Linked DNA regions of Saccharomyces cerevisiae S288C. The protein of the gene in region 2 interacts with the protein of the main gene of each other region in a biochemical or structural test. Each region holds a gene or a part of one and is shown on either strand. Other genes may lie near its edges.

The links. Proteins that work in one complex are often made in the same cells at the same time.
Region 1: the proteins of XRS2 (region 2) and LIF1 form a complex in vitro, tested with the Saccharomyces cerevisiae proteins (one study listed by BioGRID).
Region 3: the proteins of XRS2 (region 2) and SAE2 form a complex in vitro, tested with the Saccharomyces cerevisiae proteins (3 studies listed by BioGRID, with this or other methods).

The regions. Positions count from the first base shown.
Region 1 is NC_001139.9:341,753-346,946, forward strand, and holds LIF1 (Lif1p), read left to right. Parts: upstream 1-1,566; coding exon 1,567-2,832; downstream 2,833-5,194. Other genes in the region: nucleocytoplasmic transporter NUP145, read left to right, coding at 1-107; NBP35 (Fe-S cluster-binding ATPase), read right to left, coding at 304-1,290; MF(ALPHA)2 (Mf(Alpha)2p), read right to left, coding at 3,039-3,401; YGL088W (uncharacterized protein), read left to right, coding at 4,084-4,449; E2 ubiquitin-conjugating protein MMS2, read right to left, coding at 4,654-5,056, 5,142-5,152. UniProt on the Saccharomyces cerevisiae protein: Involved in non-homologous repair of DNA double-strand breaks. Stabilizes DNL4.
Region 2 is NC_001136.10:1,212,556-1,221,339, reverse strand, and holds XRS2 (Xrs2p), read left to right. Parts: upstream 1-3,759; coding exon 3,760-6,324; downstream 6,325-8,784. Other genes in the region: VPS74 (Vps74p), read left to right, coding at 1-228; CTS2 (putative chitinase), read right to left, coding at 392-1,927; DXO1 (Dxo1p), read left to right, coding at 2,230-3,558; trifunctional aldehyde reductase/carbonyl reductase (NADPH)/glucose 1-dehydrogenase (NADP(+)) YPR1, read right to left, coding at 6,498-7,436; KEI1 (Kei1p), read right to left, coding at 7,726-8,361, 8,463-8,492; MOR1 (Mor1p), read left to right, coding at 8,504-8,784. UniProt on the Saccharomyces cerevisiae protein: Component of the MRN complex, which plays a central role in double-strand break (DSB) repair, DNA recombination, maintenance of telomere integrity and meiosis.
Region 3 is NC_001139.9:170,923-176,020, reverse strand, and holds SAE2 (ssDNA endodeoxyribonuclease SAE2), read left to right. Parts: upstream 1-1,698; coding exon 1,699-2,736; downstream 2,737-5,098. Other genes in the region: chromatin-binding exonuclease XRN1, read left to right, coding at 1-494; BUD13 (Bud13p), read right to left, coding at 676-1,476; YGL176C (uncharacterized protein), read left to right, coding at 2,942-4,606. UniProt on the Saccharomyces cerevisiae protein: Endonuclease that cooperates with the MRX complex in processing meiotic and mitotic double-strand breaks by allowing the endonucleolytic removal of SPO11 from the break sites and ensuring both resection and intrachromosomal association of the broken ends.

The DNA of each region.
Region 1 (5,194 bases), on a different chromosome or scaffold from region 2:
GCGATTCGAAGGCCAAATTGCTTGAGCTCCCCCTAGGGCAGCCAGAAAAGGCATACTTGAGGGGTGAGTTTGCCCAGGATTTAATGAAGTGTACATATAAGATATAAGTTTTTTTATTTTTATTTCTAAAAAAAAGAAAAATAGTAAAACATGGACTGAAGCTAACGCTTTTGGAGTAATTAGTAGCATTATATATGGTAAAAGTGTTCTTCAGTAGGTCTAAGATTTAAAGGTAATGATATTTATATTATAAAACGATTTGACCTCTAATGCACTTCCTTTTATTCTTTTTGATAAAATATACTATACATCCCCCACAGCATCTCGCAGAGCCTCCACAACGTTAAGTACAGCACTCGAAGCTGGGCTGTCAGGATAGTTATCCAGGAAACTTTCACCCATGTCACAACTCTTGCCAATCCTCGGATCTAACGGAACAGACCCCAAAAATTTGATGCCCAATTCCTTACAAAGTGCTTCACCTCCACCTGTGGTAGCCTTGAATATTTGGGACTCTCCTTTGCAATTTGGACATACAAATCCGCTCATATTTTCCACTAGTCCAAGAATATTGATACCAGCCTTCTTACAGAAATCTATCTCTTTCCGTACATCTAATAAAGCTACTTCCTGAGGTGTGGTGACCACAAGGGCACCATCTATGCCAGATTCTCTCATATACTTGTTTATTGAAATGTGCTCATCAGATGTTCCGGGCGGTGTGTCGATTACCAAGTAATCGAGTTTATCCCAATCAACATCCTTTAAAAATTTTTTTATCAATAAATTCTTTTTTGAACCCCTCCATATAATGGCGGAATCGTCTTCTGGAAGCATATATTGAATAGACATGGTGGCTAAATTATCAGTCACATAGACAGGTGTCCAACCGGAGTTCGATTCATGGACGGTTTCTTTAATGCAGCCTAACATATGTGGCAAAGAAGGTCCACATATATCTAAATCCATGGCACCTACTTGTAAATCTTCGTCAGCTGAAAGTGCCCAACTTAGCATTGCGGCAAATGTCGACTTGCCTACGCCACCTTTGCCTGATAAAACCAATATTTTATGTTCTATTCCTGACAAGTTATCTGTGATCAATGGAATATCTGGATCAGGGCCTTTCGGAAGACTTTCACATATTTCTTTATTGGCGCAGCCACCACAAGCATCGGACTTACCTGCCATGTCTGATTCTGGACCAGGACAGTGTTCTGGTTCCGGCTGATTAAGTTCATACTCTGCTGGTAGCACTTCGTCGTTTACATGTGGTAGTATCTCAGTCATTCTTGGATATCACTTATGTATACTGTTGTTCTCAAAAACAGAAAGACTTCACGTTTAGCCTAGCCTACGAGTTGTTGGACAAACATGTTATTTATTATTATATACAAAATATTTCTACGCATTACTAATTACACCATTAATGAATCCGAAAAAGTACCCGGAAGCGTATTTTGAAAAGCCATATTAAAGAATAATAAGATGAACGGCAGTTTTCGACGTGTCAATGCATAGAACTGAGAGAATTGTGCATTGGATGACTTATTTATGTAGGGTGCTATGTCCCAGCTGACGGAGTTCATTAGCTGTATCCCTGTGGTTAATGAAGAACAAAATGAAGAAGATGAGCGTGGCCTCTGTAAGATTCAGATTGAAGATGGCGCTATGTTGGAAACATTAGATGAGAACAGTCTTTCAGGGCTTAGAATAGAGAAAATGTTGGTAAGTGAAGGTACAGGAATTTTTTCCAAAAGCAGTTTTGGAATCAATGATTTGCGAATCTTTACGGGAGAAAATATCGATGAAGAGTCTAAGAAATATGTGTGGTATGAACTACTCAAAATGTTAACTGGTCACAAAGTGTACATTGCATCGTTAGACGAAAAAGTCGTATTCACAAAATGGACGTGCAGAATGCAAGATGATGAGGTATGGAAAGTAGTTATGGAGTTGGAGTCATCGGCGATCATAAGAAAAATCGCTGAACTTACCTTGCATCCAGTCAAAAAGGGAGAGATTGATTTATTTGAAATGGCAGATAAACTCTATAAAGATATCTGTTGTGTTAACGATTCTTACCGGAATATAAAGGAGAGCGATTCTAGCAATAGAAATCGAGTTGAACAGCTGGCTCGGGAAAGGGAGCTATTGGATAAGCTTTTAGAAACACGTGATGAAAGAACCAGAGCAATGATGGTAACCTTGTTGAATGAGAAGAAGAAGAAAATAAGAGAGCTTCATGAGATTCTGCGACAAAATAATATCAAATTGTCTGACGATGATGTTTTAGATTCTGCGCTTATTAATACGGAAGTGCAAAAGCCAATTTCTGAGTTAAACTCTCCAGGAAAAAGAATGAAACGAAGAAAGACGGTAGTAGAGCCTCAAAATTTACAAAAGAAGTTGAAAGACACAAGTCGGAGGAGAGCTAATAGAAAAATATCTAATCAATCCGTGATCAAAATGGAAGACGACGATTTTGATGACTTTCAATTTTTCGGACTTTCTAAAAGGCCAATTATTACTGCTAAAGATAAACTCAGTGAAAAGTACGATGATATTACCTCTTTTGGAGATGACACACAATCAATAAGTTTTGAATCTGATAGTAGCAGTGATGTTCAAAAACATTTAGTGTCTTTAGAAGACAATGGTATTCAAATATCAGCAGGAAGATCGGATGAAGATTACGGAGACATTTCTGGTTCTGAATCTGAGACTGATGCAAGTGCAGGGGAAAAGAAGAGCTCCAACCATAGTGAACAATCCGGTAATGATAGGGAACCTTGCTTGCAGACAGAATCGGAAACGGATATAGAAACATAGCCTATTTATGAATGAATGTAATATATGGCAAAGAGTATTATAGTATCGCATCATTTGAGAGAATACTTTATTTAAATGGCAAAAAATAGTTCTATGTGAGTGATCGAAAACTCAACTACTCAGATTGAAAAGAAAATAAATAAAACTAGGTGTTGTATGAACGTGAAAGAAATCGAGAGGGTTTAGAAGTAGTTTAGGGTCATTTTTCAGTACATTGGTTGGCCTGGCTTGAGTTGCAACCAGTGCCAAGCATCAGCGTTGGCCTCTCTCTTGTACATTGGTTGGCCTGGTCTCAAATTTAACCAGTGCCAAGCGTCGGCAACAGCCTCTCTTTTCGCCAAAGTGGTGTTTTGCTCTTTTTCAGCCGCCTCAGCAATAGTGGTGTTGATAAACAATAGCCCACTGGCGGTAGCGTTACTGAATGGTAAAAAAGCTATGTCATGATCACCTCCGAAATCCAAGTATCCAATAATGGCCTCGGCTGGCACCTGAGCGATATCTTCATCGGAACTAGCAGTGACAGAAACGGCCGCTAAAATAAAAGTGAGAAAGGTAGAAATGAATTTCATTTTCTCCAATATGTGAATTTACTGGAATTTGATGCAGGTGATGGTAGTAATTATCCATTATATAGAATATAAAAACAGATATAGGAAGGACACCTCAAACTACACCAGAATCAAGGACAGCTTTTATACATATAAGCCCTCGTCTCTGCGCTGTAAAGACACCAAGTTTCACTAGGTCCACGGCGACTCTGTACTGAAACAACTGAATATTTGAAACAGTAACGATGAATAGTTTGGCTCGATACCTTGAAAACAATCACTACAGGCGTCGCCCAGATGCGCACATCGTTGCTGGCATTGATGTACCAATGAAGAAATATAAGTGACAAACTTTATGAAAAGATAGAAAGAGGTTTACAAGATAAGAGAAAAATTATGCTGTGAAGATTAGTAATCGAAGTAACTGCTTATTCATTCAGTGCATGTTTTTCTAGGAATGCGTTTGATATGGGACATACATCTTACTATGCGACATTACCTTTTAGGGACATCAATGAGCAAGTGAACACTAGCAAATTAGGAAAACAACTTTAGCACGCCCAACTGCGTACTGAAACGCAGAAAACTATAGAGTTTCCCGAAACGGTGACAGCTGAGTTCGCTCAAATAAGAACAACACCATGTCTTGAAGCTTCTTCTATAGCGTAGAGTAAGTAGTGCCTTGTAGCCCTACCGTTTTACAATGCATGAGGTTACCCGCACTTATTATTTTTTTCTCTTTTTTTTTCTTAGCTATAAAAGGCAGATCAATGCAGCATTCATTGCTTTATTTGACTTTCCTTTACTATTTATTTACTTTCCATTTCTTATTTTAGTGTTATTTTATAACAGTAACGCAAATTTAACAGCCATTCGTAACACGTACAGTATCTCGTCGAGGTTGAACCCCTCCGGGGCGTTCTTGACCCATGAAGAATGTGGATTGGTGTTGCAATATATTTATTATTGGCTTGGACTGGAGAACAAATTTATCGATCTTGGGTGCAACAGTCTTTCTGTCGTCTGTTTTTTAGCAGATCTAAGGGTTTACCTTCGTGTGCCCGGATGAGGACCGTTGCAAGGATTGATAATACAACTATATACATCATTATCGTAGTGAATTGCACGAGTAACTTCTCGGCATGGGGTGAGTAAATTCATATTATGAAAGTAATTAAACTTACTACCTAAATAAGAGGATATCTATGTCTTATTGCTTGTATATATGAGTGGCTTGGAATGCTGCAAATACTGTTTAGGAAAAAGTAGATAACTAAAAGGTTTCTCCTTCCTTCGGTTGACGCAATTTCTTGTTCGCTGGGGTTGCCATTTCCTTTCTAAGATCAAGTAATAAAGTTTCCATGGTGTAGGCTCTTTTCCAGTCACGTAAGGTGTGGAAGTCAGTTTGGACCTCCCCCGTAGTTGGATTGACGCATGGTAGATTTATCTTGGAAATGAAAGTGACCTTTGGGGGAGAATCTGGATAGTTTGGGCCACAATCTATAGAAAGGGAATAGATTCTGTTTTCATGATTACTATGAGGGGGCCCTAAAATAGTGCCGTTCCATTTGGTCATGGTAATATCGTCGCTATCAGCTAAACCATAACTACATGATTCTGGACCAAACCCTTTTTCACCCTTTTCTAATTCTTCTAACAACCTAAAATTTCTTGGTCTGATTTACAATAGGACAGTGAGGGTACATTTCAAGAATTTGTTAGTATATGTTGAAATCCCTTTCAAAACTTATAATAACATACACTTTTGACATTTTTGTGTAAACGCTGCTTTCTTCTACGTTGCATATACAGAA
Region 2 (8,784 bases):
ACGTTGGAATATGAGAAGAGAGATAAGGCAATTAGTAGAGCTGAAGAAATAATGGCACAATTTTCGCAATACCCATTTGATTTAGAAAAGGAAACTGAGTTAGGTGTCTCCGTTAATTTAAACAAGGAAGTTAAAGAAGAGATAGAAAACAATCCTGGTCATGATTTACAATTGGAAGTTATTGCTGGTGTATTTGAAGTCTTTTCAAGAATGGATATGCTATTATGAAAATAACAACAAAAATCCTCTCTTTGAAACATAAGGAAAAGTCAAGCTTTTTTTTATAAGCCTCTAACATTAATAAACGAAATTTGTATATATGTATATACATATACGGAGTGGATAATAAATAGACCAAACTTTTTGTTATTATATACGCCCACATTCGTATTCATTGCTTTCTTGAATCCAAATGCTTTAAATATGGAGATAAAAATCCGCCATCGCCATATTTATTCAAGTAATATTTTTTAACTCTCACATCTTGAAATATTGATGGTTTTGATGACACATTAAAGTGCAAGCCTTCATTAAATGCGTTTATCAACGACCTTGACTCATTTGCATAAGCTTCACCACATGACTCCCACCAAAAGCCTCCGCCTAAATTGTTATGTGTCACATATTCAGCCTTAGTTTTGACTGATTTAGTGTTATCATAACTGATAAATATTGAATTTTTTTCATCAAAGCAATATGCTGAAACATATTTTGGATCGTATTGTTCTATTGTACCAATCTTTGGTAAATTTTTGTAAGGCCAGATGCCCTCCTTGCCATCAGCTTTATCTATTTCTTTAGTGGGCTTGCCCACTCCTTTGAAAATTTTGTTAATTAATACAGTATTTTGATTGAATGGTTCGAATTTGTTATCTTTGATATGGAAACTTCTTCCGTAGGCGGCCATTCCCAGTACTAATTTTCTAGAATTGACGCCAAATCTATCGATCATATAATGCATGGCAAAGTTTCCATTCAATTCCGTCTCACTGAATAGATTGCTGTGATATCCTGTTGTTTCTGACCACGAGCCATAATAATCGTACGTCATCATATTCCAGTAGTCAACATATTGATCAATTTCTGTGATTGGCAAGTAAAATAATTTATCCTTGAATGCAGGTGCCGCAATAGATAATTGAAAATGATCTTCAGTACGTTTCCCAAATATTTGGGATTCGAGGCTGTTTAGTTTTAATCGCAGCATTCTGACCAGTTTCAGATATCCGCGAGGTTCTGATTCATTGTTACCAGGGAACTCCCAGTCTAGATCAATGCCATCAAATCCTAATCTGAACATTGTTTCCACCGACGAATCAACAAAATTTTGTAAGAGTTTATCATCTTTAATTATGATTTTGAAATTTTCACTATCAGACCAGCCCCCAATTGACATGATAACTTTAAATTTCTTATCAGAACAGGTATTCTTCAAATAAAATAGTTCACCAATGCAACCTAAGGGTAGGATGTTTTGGACACTATTGTTCGAGCTTTCTTTAATTAGTTCTGAATTTTTAATTGCCAGCGATTTATACAAATTCATTTCTAGATCAGACCAACTATCCGTGTTTTCTATACCACCAGTTCTAGAGTTTATTTTGAAAAATGCATAGTAAATGTGAGACACTTGCTTCAAGTTTATGTCGTGAGGGAAATGAAACCTCGGTTTGTATGGGGACCAATTGGAATAATAGACCCCTGATATAAAGGCTTCGTCTCTTATATGGGTTCCATGATTTTGGACATTACTGGGAACTCGATGTCCGCCATTGTTAAAGTTGTCTCTAATATCATCCGACCTTTGGTTCTTAAAAATTTTATTATATAAACACATTTCAATAATAATCGTTATAAAGATAAGTAGTATTAGTAGGTGAGACACTAAGCTGCTTTTTGATCTGTGCTGAGCTGAGTGTCCTACCATATGATCACTCTTGTATCGTCTACTTATAGAGGTTGTTAGTACCAACCTGCAAATACAATTGTTGGACCATACTACCACAAAAGGTTCTTTTCGTTGGTGTATCCTCACAAATAATGATTATTCCACCAAAATCACCAAATTATTGTGTCAAACTAACTGGGATTACCCCACTATTGATTTTTCCAGTTTTTCCGCAATTTTCGCAGCATGTTTTACTTTTATAATGGCATTGTTGCATTACAGCGCCAGTTGTAGGTATCGATGATTTTATGTCAAAGTTTTCTTTCTAGCCAAACTCAGTTATGTCAACTGAACAAGATGCTGTTCTTGGATTGGCCAAAGATTTAGAAGGTATAAATTTGCTTACTGTGCCCAATCTCGAGAGAGGACACCAAAGTAAATTATGCAAAGAGAAAACTACTTCTGATTCATCTTCGTCAAGGAAGCCTTCACAACAGAGAGACAATTATAGAAAGAGACGTCCGAAACTTATATGTATCCCATATACGTCTTTTCTGCATACTGGTATGCACAATTTTTTGACGAAACCACCAAGAGATATATTTCATGAAAGTAAAGAAGTAGCTCTGTTTACCAATGGCCGGGCTTATACAATCCTACGCAAAGACCTTATACCAAATTTGAAAGAAAGTATTGCTGAATTGTATGAAAGCTCGCTTCTTGAGGCAAAAAAGCGGAAAGTCCCGTATTTAGGCCATGACTTATTTGCTAATATTGATGAGTTCGTTCCCATGACAATATCCGAATTAGATAGTGTATCACCGTGTTTTTCATACATTGAGAACTGGATACTAGATAATCCTGGTAAGGATTTTAAGATCGGCAAGAAATTTACTGTTGTAACCACAAGACATCATATCGTAGATTTGACTATGCATCTCTTTAACAGGCGAAATAGACAAACGTCACTAATTGTAACTTATATGGGGGCGGGCCTTCTTTCATTTTGCAGAAATGTAAAAAAAGATTCTCAAATGTCCAAAGAGGGCATTTATTCAAATGATCCAAATATGAAGAAAATTTGCTATTCAGGATTTGAATTTGAAAATTGGGTAACCGAAAATTCCAAAGTCGCTGATTTAACTGGCTCTAAATGTCCTATTTTTTCTCTTGTAGAGAGTAAACTTTCAGAAGAAATTGGTCTTTTAATTCGCTGCGAAATGGATGCATTCAATCCTGTTTCGGAGACAAACACAGAACTAAAGTGTTTTGCCCCATTATCAATGCACAATTCCAATCATAGGAGAAAACTTCTGAAAACGTGGGTACAGACGGGTTTATTACCGAACTCAGATATCATGATAGGTTTGAGGGACAGTCATAGCGGTCAATTACTAGACATTCAATGGTACTCAAGGGACTTATTATGTAAGAAATTCAATCACCCAGGTCTACCTACAAATAAAAAGGAACTTAACTATAATGCCCAAATTGCGGTAGAATGGTGTCATTATTGTATTGAAGCAATTTGTAAGCTGGTGGAGGCAAATATCTCTGACTATAGCAGTACAAAACCAGAATCATTTGAAATCGGTATAGATACTAACAACGCCATCGTCATCACTAAACTTAAGACTACTCCAAGAAACGTAGAATTATTTGGAATGTAGAGACGTGTATAATATATAATACTTTTCCGAGAAATATTTCATTTTCATTTTCGTAAAGTTGTTAACTACGCTAAATATTAGTACTTTTCTTAAATTTATATGGGGAGCCCTTTTTTTCTATGAAAAGCAATGCGTAAACCAAATAAGCAGAATTTTGTAATAGATGAGCAACAATACTGAGAAGGTGATAACTATAAATTTATGTGGGTAGTACGATACCAGAATACATTGGAAGATGGCTCTATTAGCTTTATATCATGTTGTCTTCAGGCCTTCAAAACTTATAGTATAGGTAGATCAAGTAAAAACCCACTGATAATTAAAAATGATAAAAGTATTTCCAGACAGCATATCACATTCAAATGGGAAATCAATAATAGTTCGGATCTGAAACACAGTAGCCTGTGTTTAGTTAACAAGGGTAAATTGACATCATTAAATAAAAAATTCATGAAAGTTGGCGAAACATTTACTATTAATGCCTCGGACGTTTTAAAGTCCACAATAATTGAACTGGGTACAACTCCTATTCGTATAGAGTTCGAATGGATAAATGAAGTCTGGAACATTCCTCCTCATTTGACACAATTCAGGACGATGCTTTCTGAATATGGTATCTCCACTGAGATTTCTATTAATGATATTCCCGCTAATCTGATGATTAGCGATTACCCAAAGAGCGAGGACAACAGCATACGGGAATTGTATGCCCTTGTTAGTACTATACCCATGAAAAAATCACGGTTTCTGATGGAATTGTGTAATACTCTTCTTCCCACATCTAAAACTAATTTAAAATTTGATGAAATGTGGAACGATATGATTAGTAATCCGGAGTACAATGTTTTTGATTTTGATCCAAATATTTTGCTTTCGAAGTTTATGAGGCTGAATAATATCAGAGTGTTAACTACTATCAAAAGTGAACCACGTCTATCATCTCTCCTGCGGACGTTCAATATAAATTTATTTGCATTTGACAACATTGATAGTTTATATAAATATGTTGACAGCTTGGAAGCATCAACAGAATACCTGATTTTGACAACTACAGATAAGAAAGAAAATGGGAAAATTCTATGTACTATCAAAACGATGTTAACATCAATAATAGATGGCACCTTAAGCGCAGTGATTAATATGAAGGGTGCATCTTCAAGAACTCTAGATAACGGTAAATTTGATCAAATTTCTGAAGGAATGTCTACTATTTTGAAAACATCTCGTGCACCTGAAGTTGAAGCTAGTCCAGTAGTCTCGAAGAAGCGAAAATTAAATAGACGTAGAGTACTACCACTCGATAGTCTTGATTTTTTTGCTGGAGGTTTGAGTACTAAGACTCTATCAGAAAATAGGTCTTTAACTGACGCTAAGAGACTTAATTGTGGCGCAGAATCAAAGACTGTCATTTCAAGTCCCAACATTGCAGAGGCAGATGAAAAGCACGCCCCATTTCTTCAAAACGCACTAAAGCCGACTGAAGATATTGGAAAGAAAAGTGGTCACAGTAGCCCTGGTGCTATAATTGTCAGTAGCCCCAACTTAGGTACTGTGAACACGAGTGAGGATTCGTTGGATAAGTCGCTACAGTCACATAAGTTACCACAGCCGTCATTGCCGGAGGTAGCAGGGATTGGCTCTCAAACCATATCTTCGAACTCCGCTGACTATGAAACAGCTGCTGTGAATTCGATGGATGATGCTGAAGTTACTAAGAATTTTAGGGTGAATCATCACCAGAATATAGAGCAACCCTCTAAAAACATCCGTAAACTTTCTAATTATTCACGAGAAATTTCATCTCCATTACAAGAAAATTGTAAGTCACCTGTAAAAGAGTTATCTATTAAAGAGAAATCTGGTACGCCGCACGCATTTGTTGAAGCTATTCAAGAAACTAAAAATAGAGAGGTCAAAAGAGTTAAGTCAACCATTGTTGAATTGAAGGATGAGGAGTTGAGCGAGGAAGCTATTAATCAGCTAAAAAATTTGGCTATTGTAGAACCTAGTAACAATTTACTGAGGAAATCATTTGATAGTGAGGGAAACAAAACAAGCAGAACAACTGAAAAATGGGAAAATAGCCTAATGGAGCCAGAATGGCATAAACGCAAGAATTTCAAGACTTTTGTCAAGGTACGTCCAAAATCAAAGGCGCACAAAGAAGAGGGTAAAAATAACACTCAAAGCTCAGATTTTATACGAAATGCAGCCTTTTTAATCACTAGAAATTATGTTCCGTTAAAAAAATACTCCAAAAAGGATACAACTACAAAATGGGGCACAGAAGAAAACGAAGATATGTTTGCTTTGACGGAGATGGAAAGATTTGGATCGAATACATTTATGTCCGATAATATAAACTCAAACACTATCCAGAAAAGATCTCAAGCTCTAAACAGATTCACGAATGAGGATAGTTCAAATGAAGGAGAAGAAGATTCGTTTTCTTTTTCTCGTTGTTCAGGTACTGCAGCCAGCGTTCAACCACTAAAAAACAAAATTTTTATTACTGATGAAGATGATCTGGGTGATATTGATGATAAAAGCGATAGACTAAATCACAGAGAAAATAATCGTAATCTTTTTGTGGTGAAGGAAATGAACTTACGGCCAAACTTGTCAGAAGAATGTTCCAAGCAAAGTAGACACAGTAGAAGCGCAACTAGTAGATCACGTGGCTCTTTTGGGGCTTCTAATAACGGTGATGGCGACGACGACGATGACGACGGTCCGAAGTTTACGTTCAAAAGAAGAAAAGGATAATGATAAATTTTCCGAGTATTTCCAATTTCATTAAATTATATTTTGCATTATCATTCGATATATGTGTATATATTATATGAAAATTAGTAAAATCAATGTTTGTTTCAGCTGTATCGGATCGGTTTAAAGAAGCACTACAGGTTGCTGGAGGCATTAACTGTAATGTAGCGCGCTCATTGGAAAATTGGGAAGGATCCCCACTTCATATCAACGACTCTCTTTGTACCATGCACTTTGGATAGGTTACTAATAGTCTTGAAATCATCCTCAGGCAGAGTGAAAATCTTAAAATTGGATACAATTCTTTCAGGATTAACCGATTTGGCCAGAACAACGTAGCCTCTTTGAATACTCCAACTGATAATAAGCTGTGCTGGCTCAACGCCGTGCTTTTTAGCCATATCAATAATTGCTTGCTCTTTTAGTAAAGGAGCATTAGCACTCCCAAATGGTGAGTAGGCTTCAACAACAATACCCTTTTCCTTACAAAAGGCAATCAATTCGTCTTGTGGTAGCAATGGATGAATTTCAATTTGATTAGTAGCTGGTACCACCTTGTTATTTGGAGATTCTAATAATTCTTTAATGTTGTTAATAGAAAAATTAGAGACACCAACGGCTTTAGTTTTGCCCGTCTTTGGCAACTCTTGCATCAACTCCCACGTCTTGATAAAATTCCATTCCTTAGTATCGATGTCAACAGTGCCATCTTCTAATGTTGGAATGCACAGAACGTTACCATCAGTAACTCTGTCGGTTTTCAAAGGCACTGGCCAATGCATCAGATATAGGTCAACATAATCCAAGCCTAGTCTTTTCAAAGACTTGTTTAGAGCAGCTTCCGGATCACGTTGTTCCGTACCCCAAAGCTTAGTAGTAATAAAAATTTCCTCACGAGGGACTCCGGAATCTTTAATAGCCCTGCCAACTTCTTCTTCATTCAAATAGATAGCCGCAGCATCAATGTGTCTGTATCCAGCTTTCAAAGCTGCAATTACAGAATGGTAACCGTTATTGTCAACGGAACGCCAAGTGCCGAAACCCAACACTGGAATGGAGGCACCAGTATTTAGTTTTAATGTAGCAGAAGAATTCTTTAACGTAGCAGGCATGGTAGATTATTATCTGTGGGTATATTTGCGACCTGATTATATTGCAAAGTTACTTTATTATCACTTTAGAAAAGAAAAGGGTTTCACGGAATTGAATTGCAACCAAATAGGGAATTGCGTGCTATATAGTTTCCTTTTTCCTTTTTTTTCAAAATTACGTAAGAGCTACTTAAATACACACGTGATGAAAAGTGACAATAGCATCAGTGAGAATGATTTTATGATGTCAGAATAGAAACATTTCTTCATCAGTGTAAAACGCTATAACGCTAGGGCTTTATTTTACTATTTACTCTAACAAATTCTTACATAGCTTATAACAACCTTTTTGGCTCTTAGCCCACAGTCTTTTCCAAATAGGCTTGTTTTTCAAGTTTTGTTCTACGTCATCCCTATCAACTAAATATTTGGGGTGGTGTAACAATTCTTGAACAAAAGATGCCAAAATGAAGTTAAAGTAGAACCTGAATATCAATGACACCAACGTAATTAAAATAGTCATGGTATATTCGTAGCTTTCAGTTGCACTTTGTTTACTTATATCAATACCACGTTCTGTCAGCTTACCTGTCGATATTGGGTTACTTTGTAGTGCATTATTTCCATCAATATTAGCAGTGTCTTCCAAGGTGAACCATTGCGTGGTAAACCATAGAGTAAAAAAACAAGTGGAAATGGTATCGATTGTATAAAGTACGCAGATTTGCGAAAATACCAGCAAGTTTGGCTTATGAATCAAATACAGCCCTTGTGAGAATACGATTAATGTAAATACCGACCAAAGATATGCTATCCATTGCATAAAATCCAACGGATGACCCGTGAACAATGCTAAAATACCATAAGCACCACTGCATTTGTTTAGAATGGAAATACCTAAGACAATCTCAACTGCAAGGTATAGCGGCATAAACCCCAAAAAAGACTATGAAAAAAAAATATGTTTGAGAACAGGTTAGTAAAATTGTGCTTTGCTTCGAATCCTTACAAGTTAACAAAAATTTATAGCGTTTGCCGGAAACATACTTTTGGAAGGGTTAGAAGAGATGATCTCATAACTAAGGTTAATGGTTACAATTGGTAGTTCCTCCCTGGTATTATTTCTTTTCTTCGTAGTTTTTGTACAGATCACTTATACAGCTTTACACAGATTTTCCCGCTTGTTGTGCACTTTTTTTTCGAAGATTATTGAAGAGGGATGCGTTTGGTACAATAAAAAACATAGGTTCCCAAACCTATATAAATATATATATGTATATGTATATATACTACATATATGCTTTGAGAAATATGTGAATGTTGAGATAATTGTTGGGATTCCATTGTTGATAAAGGCTATAATATTAGG
Region 3 (5,098 bases), on a different chromosome or scaffold from region 2:
GTATAGGCAGTAATTTGAATATCCCAACTCCACCTCACCCAATGAATGTGGTTGGGGGTCCTATTCCTGGAGCGAATGATGTTGCAGATGTTGGTTTGCCGTACAATATTCCCCCAGGTTTTATGACGCATCCTAATGGTCTTCACCCATTACACCCTCACCAGATGCCTTACCCTAATATGAATGGAATGTCTATTCCGCCACCAGCACCACATGGGTTTGGACAACCGATTTCCTTCCCACCTCCACCTCCTATGACAAATGTTTCAGATCAAGGAAGTCGTATTGTTGTCAATGAAAAGGAAAGCCAAGATTTGAAAAAATTCATTAATGGTAAACAGCACAGCAATGGTTCAACTATTGGGGGAGAAACAAAGAACAGTAGGAAAGGCGAGATTAAACCTTCTTCTGGCACAAACTCTACTGAATGTCAATCGCCAAAGTCACAAAGCAATGCTGCTGACCGTGATAATAAAAAAGACGAATCTACTTAGAACATACGACTAAAAACGAAGTATATTCGAGGTTACTTTAATAGTATATCTGAGACCTATATAAAGAGGGGTATTTGTATTTAATCGTTGATCTTGTTAAGAAAAAGCTTATAACAAATGGGGATTGTCAAAGGGTATTTTTTACACAAAGCTTTCCGCATAGTTATATATTATCTCATTTTCAATAATCCTCCTGTAGGGTGTAGCTTTGCACTTTCTTCTCATTGATCTCATTTTGCTTAGCAAACCATTTTTCTTCAAAGCCATTTGATCTGTGGACACCGTCCCATCTTGACCCAGGCATAATGGCAAACCTGTTCTCAGGTGCTGGCTTATCATAAAGCTTGCGGCCCAGTAAAGATGTTTTTACAGTTCTTTCTTTGTCATGTGTAAATGTTATTGCAGGGTCTTCTATCGTCAGACTCGAGGCAGTTTGATTTTTCTTCTTATCATGTGCATCTACATTTATTCCAAGCTTTTGCACGTCTCCCATATTCAAATTTTTCAGGTATTGCTCTCTTTCCGCGGCTTTCTCATCTTCATATTTAGATCGACTAAAACTAGAATCGTCTATCTTGGAATCTTCCTGAATCTTGTGACCTTGAGCGTCTCTGTATATGGTTTTTCGTGTTTTCGATTTGTCTGCTACTGTGACAAGTGGCTCTTGAGCCCTGATTTCCTTTAGATCGTTCTTGCTTTCGTTGCCAGTAATTGACGATGCGGAAGGATGTGTTATTGCATGGGAAAGCTCGTTTGTTTCCAGGTTCTTCCATATATTCTTGCTTTTTTGTTTGTCAAACTTGCTGAATGAAGCAACTCCTGACTTCTCCTGTTCTTGTTGCAGTGTACTTAGCCGTTCTTTTACTATCAAAGAAGTTTTGTCTGAGTTAGCGTCTGATTTTGACTCTTTCTTCTTCTTTTTCGTCTTATTTTTGGGTTTCGTGGGCCCATAAGTCTCTGATAAATACTGATGCAATGCCATGTAATAAACGTCCTGTTGTTATCTTCCACCATTCGAGTCTTGAGAACAACTTTCAAAATCAAGTCAAATAGCCATTTTCTTTATGCCATTTTCTAAGCGCGTTCTACAAAAAAAAAGCTTTTAAGCTTTAATACCTTTTTTGTTTACGTTTGCAAACATTGTTATCGTTCACATACCTGCATTTCCATCCATGCTGTAAGCCATTAGGTGTTTGTATGTGAGATGGTGACTGGTGAAGAAAATGTGTATCTAAAGTCAAGCTTATCCATTCTCAAGGAGCTCAGTCTCGATGAACTACTAAATGTGCAGTATGACGTGACTACCTTAATCGCGAAACGTGTTCAAGCACTGCAAAATCGGAATAAATGTGTTCTCGAAGAACCTAACAGTAAACTGGCTGAAATTCTATGTCACGAAAAAAATGCTCCTCAACAATCCTCTCAGACGTCTGCGGGGCCAGGTGAGCAAGATTCTGAAGATTTCATCCTTACTCAGTTTGATGAGGACATAAAGAAAGAATCAGCAGAGGTTCACTATCGTAATGAAAATAAACACACTGTGCAGTTACCGCTGGTTACTATGCCACCTAATAGGCATAAACGGAAAATTTCGGAGTTTAGTTCGCCTTTAAATGGCCTCAACAACTTAAGCGATTTGGAAGATTGCTCTGATACTGTAATCCACGAAAAAGATAATGATAAAGAGAACAAAACAAGAAAACTATTGGGAATAGAGCTCGAGAACCCTGAATCTACATCGCCAAATTTATACAAAAATGTTAAGGATAATTTCCTGTTTGACTTCAATACGAACCCTTTAACAAAGCGAGCCTGGATTCTCGAAGACTTTAGACCAAATGAAGATATCGCCCCGGTTAAGAGAGGAAGAAGAAAATTGGAGCGATTTTATGCCCAAGTTGGAAAGCCAGAGGATTCTAAACACAGATCATTGTCAGTAGTTATAGAATCGCAAAATTCGGACTACGAATTTGCGTTTGATAACTTGAGGAATAGATCAAAATCCCCCCCAGGTTTTGGAAGACTGGATTTTCCCTCCACTCAGGAAGGGAACGAGGACAAAAAGAAATCCCAGGAAATCATCAGAAGAAAGACAAAATATAGGTTTTTAATGGCAAGCAATAACAAGATCCCACCGTACGAGAGAGAATATGTATTCAAAAGAGAACAATTAAATCAAATTGTTGACGATGGATGTTTCTTCTGGAGTGATAAATTATTGCAGATATATGCTAGATGTTAAACGCCAGCGATCATCATTCTTTATTCATTACTTCAAATACATTTTTTTTGGTATGGTTGAAAGGGCTTTTTTCCTCGTTGGCATATGGGAAAAACTGAAAAATAAAAAAAGGCAATGAGATGAACAACAATGGAAAACAAAAAAGGGCGAATAAATAAGCAGCAGTTGGTAAAGCAGAAAGGGGAAGTTAACGGACGTTAAACAAATGACACCTAACTTACCAGGGTTTTATTATGATAGAGAACGTCGACGTTATTTTCGCATATCTGAAAATCAAAGCATTTCTACCACGGGAACGACGAACCAGTACAGAAAAGATAATATAAAGCGACAATGTGTTGAGGAAAATTACGATAAAAAATTTTCTATGATTAAAAAAAAACGTCAGCAAACATTACAAAAGTACAAGCTTAGTCTTCTGAATCCGTTGGAAAGGGCTTTTCGCCCTTTATCATATGAAAAGTACATGATTGGTTTAAATATGCAGTATGCATCGCATTCTCTCACTGAAGGTCATCACTCACATAGTTCTGCTAACGTAAAATCACTCAATTTTCCACACAGGATACAGATAGGAGTATTAGCAAATTGTATTTTATTGGTAACTCAAGAAGGATGTTTTCATAGTAAATTAGTATTTGCAACAAACAAGGGCTATGTCGCAGGATTTTCATCCCTGGATAATTTTTCTGAAGAAAATTTCTTTACGGGGTTTTCCATGGCTGAATTAAATCCTATGTTGAAATATAAGTCCGAGCCAACTGATGTGTTCAAAACAATGAAACTTGAGAGAACAGTTGCCATCAAGGAAGGGCCGAGCCATTATTTTTATCACAACGTTAATACCAGATCTAACGTGCATACTTTTGCCATCTTTTTACAAGACTTTTCTTCCTTAAAACTGCTCAAAATTCGTCAGGTCAAACTCAAAGAAAATTGCCAAGTCCATGATTCTCTTGTTGTTGGAGACACGTTGATTATTACCGTAAATTATCGTTGTCATTTTTATGATTTGATTCCAGAAACCTTTCCAAATCCCTATATCTTTTCTCCTGCCAAAAGCTCAAGAAAACACAAAAGTAGGAGTGACATTACTTCCCTATCATTTTGTCTACAAGAAGATGCTTTATCACCTTTAAAAAAAACGAACACCGGTGTGTTTTATTTAGGTTACAGAAATGGTGATTCAATGGCAATAGTCTTCACTAATATTACAAACATGACATTACAGTACTCCAAGACCAACGGTATGACATCAGAAAGTCGAAATCAACCTATCAGAAATTCCCTAAAATCTGTTGTTTCCATAAAAGCATTGAATAATAAAGGCCTAATACTTATATCTGGAATGGCAGACAAAGAGAATGTGCAACAACTGGTTATAGCAGATACGTTCCTGGAGGACATTCTGACCGAAATCCCGGTTGTATCTTTTAAAACTAAGTTCTTAAACGTGACTAAGGATACAGAAATACTCGAGATATCGGATGACGGGCGCTACTTCATTTATGGTTCAACTAGCGCTAGGGACGGAAAGGGTGATTTTGAAGTATTTTGTACCACTTTATCTGGAAATCTTGACTACGAAAAATCCGAAGGTGGAAATATCACCCTCTATCCAATAGGAGGTATGAAGAACTACTGTAGGTTAGAAAACTTCCAGTTTGAATCTATCCACCTACATTCGGCTTTCATACCCCCAAGGTACGTAAATCCGTTTGATGCTGTGGAACCTCTAGGTGAAGAGAGCAGTACTTCACCTTACGATATACCTGAAGAAGCACTTTCTCAAAAAATATGCATCTTAATTCGGAGAGAAGATGATCCCTACAATGGGGCCAATATCTTCATAACATCTGCTTTGACCTAGTTTAGCCCACCGAGATTTTTGCTTTATAAATATTTTAGCATACTTTGCATTCATATACATATTCATATGTATAAATATTCTTTAAATTTTAACGCCGACTTCGAACTAATTAGCAGTCAAAACCCAAATGTAATGACCTTATGGTGTTATAGCATAATTCTTCTTGGTGTACAATTCCATTCTGAATAGTTCAACGATTTTAGATATAGTTAGATATGATATTATAATAAAATATACAAATATGTATCATTGTTAGTACAAGTTAAACCTAAATATAATAAAGCCAACCAAGACAGGAACCAGTAGAAAAATTTATACAAATGACAAAGAAAAACAAACGGTATTTTCCTATTTATTAAAAATGCTTGAGCGAATGGATATTTTAACACATTAGTGTCCTAAAGGACAATTGGATTTGAAAATAAAATGACAGTAATAGACAAAAAGAAAACTGAATGAATGAATGGACGTATGGATTGCTTAATGAATGAA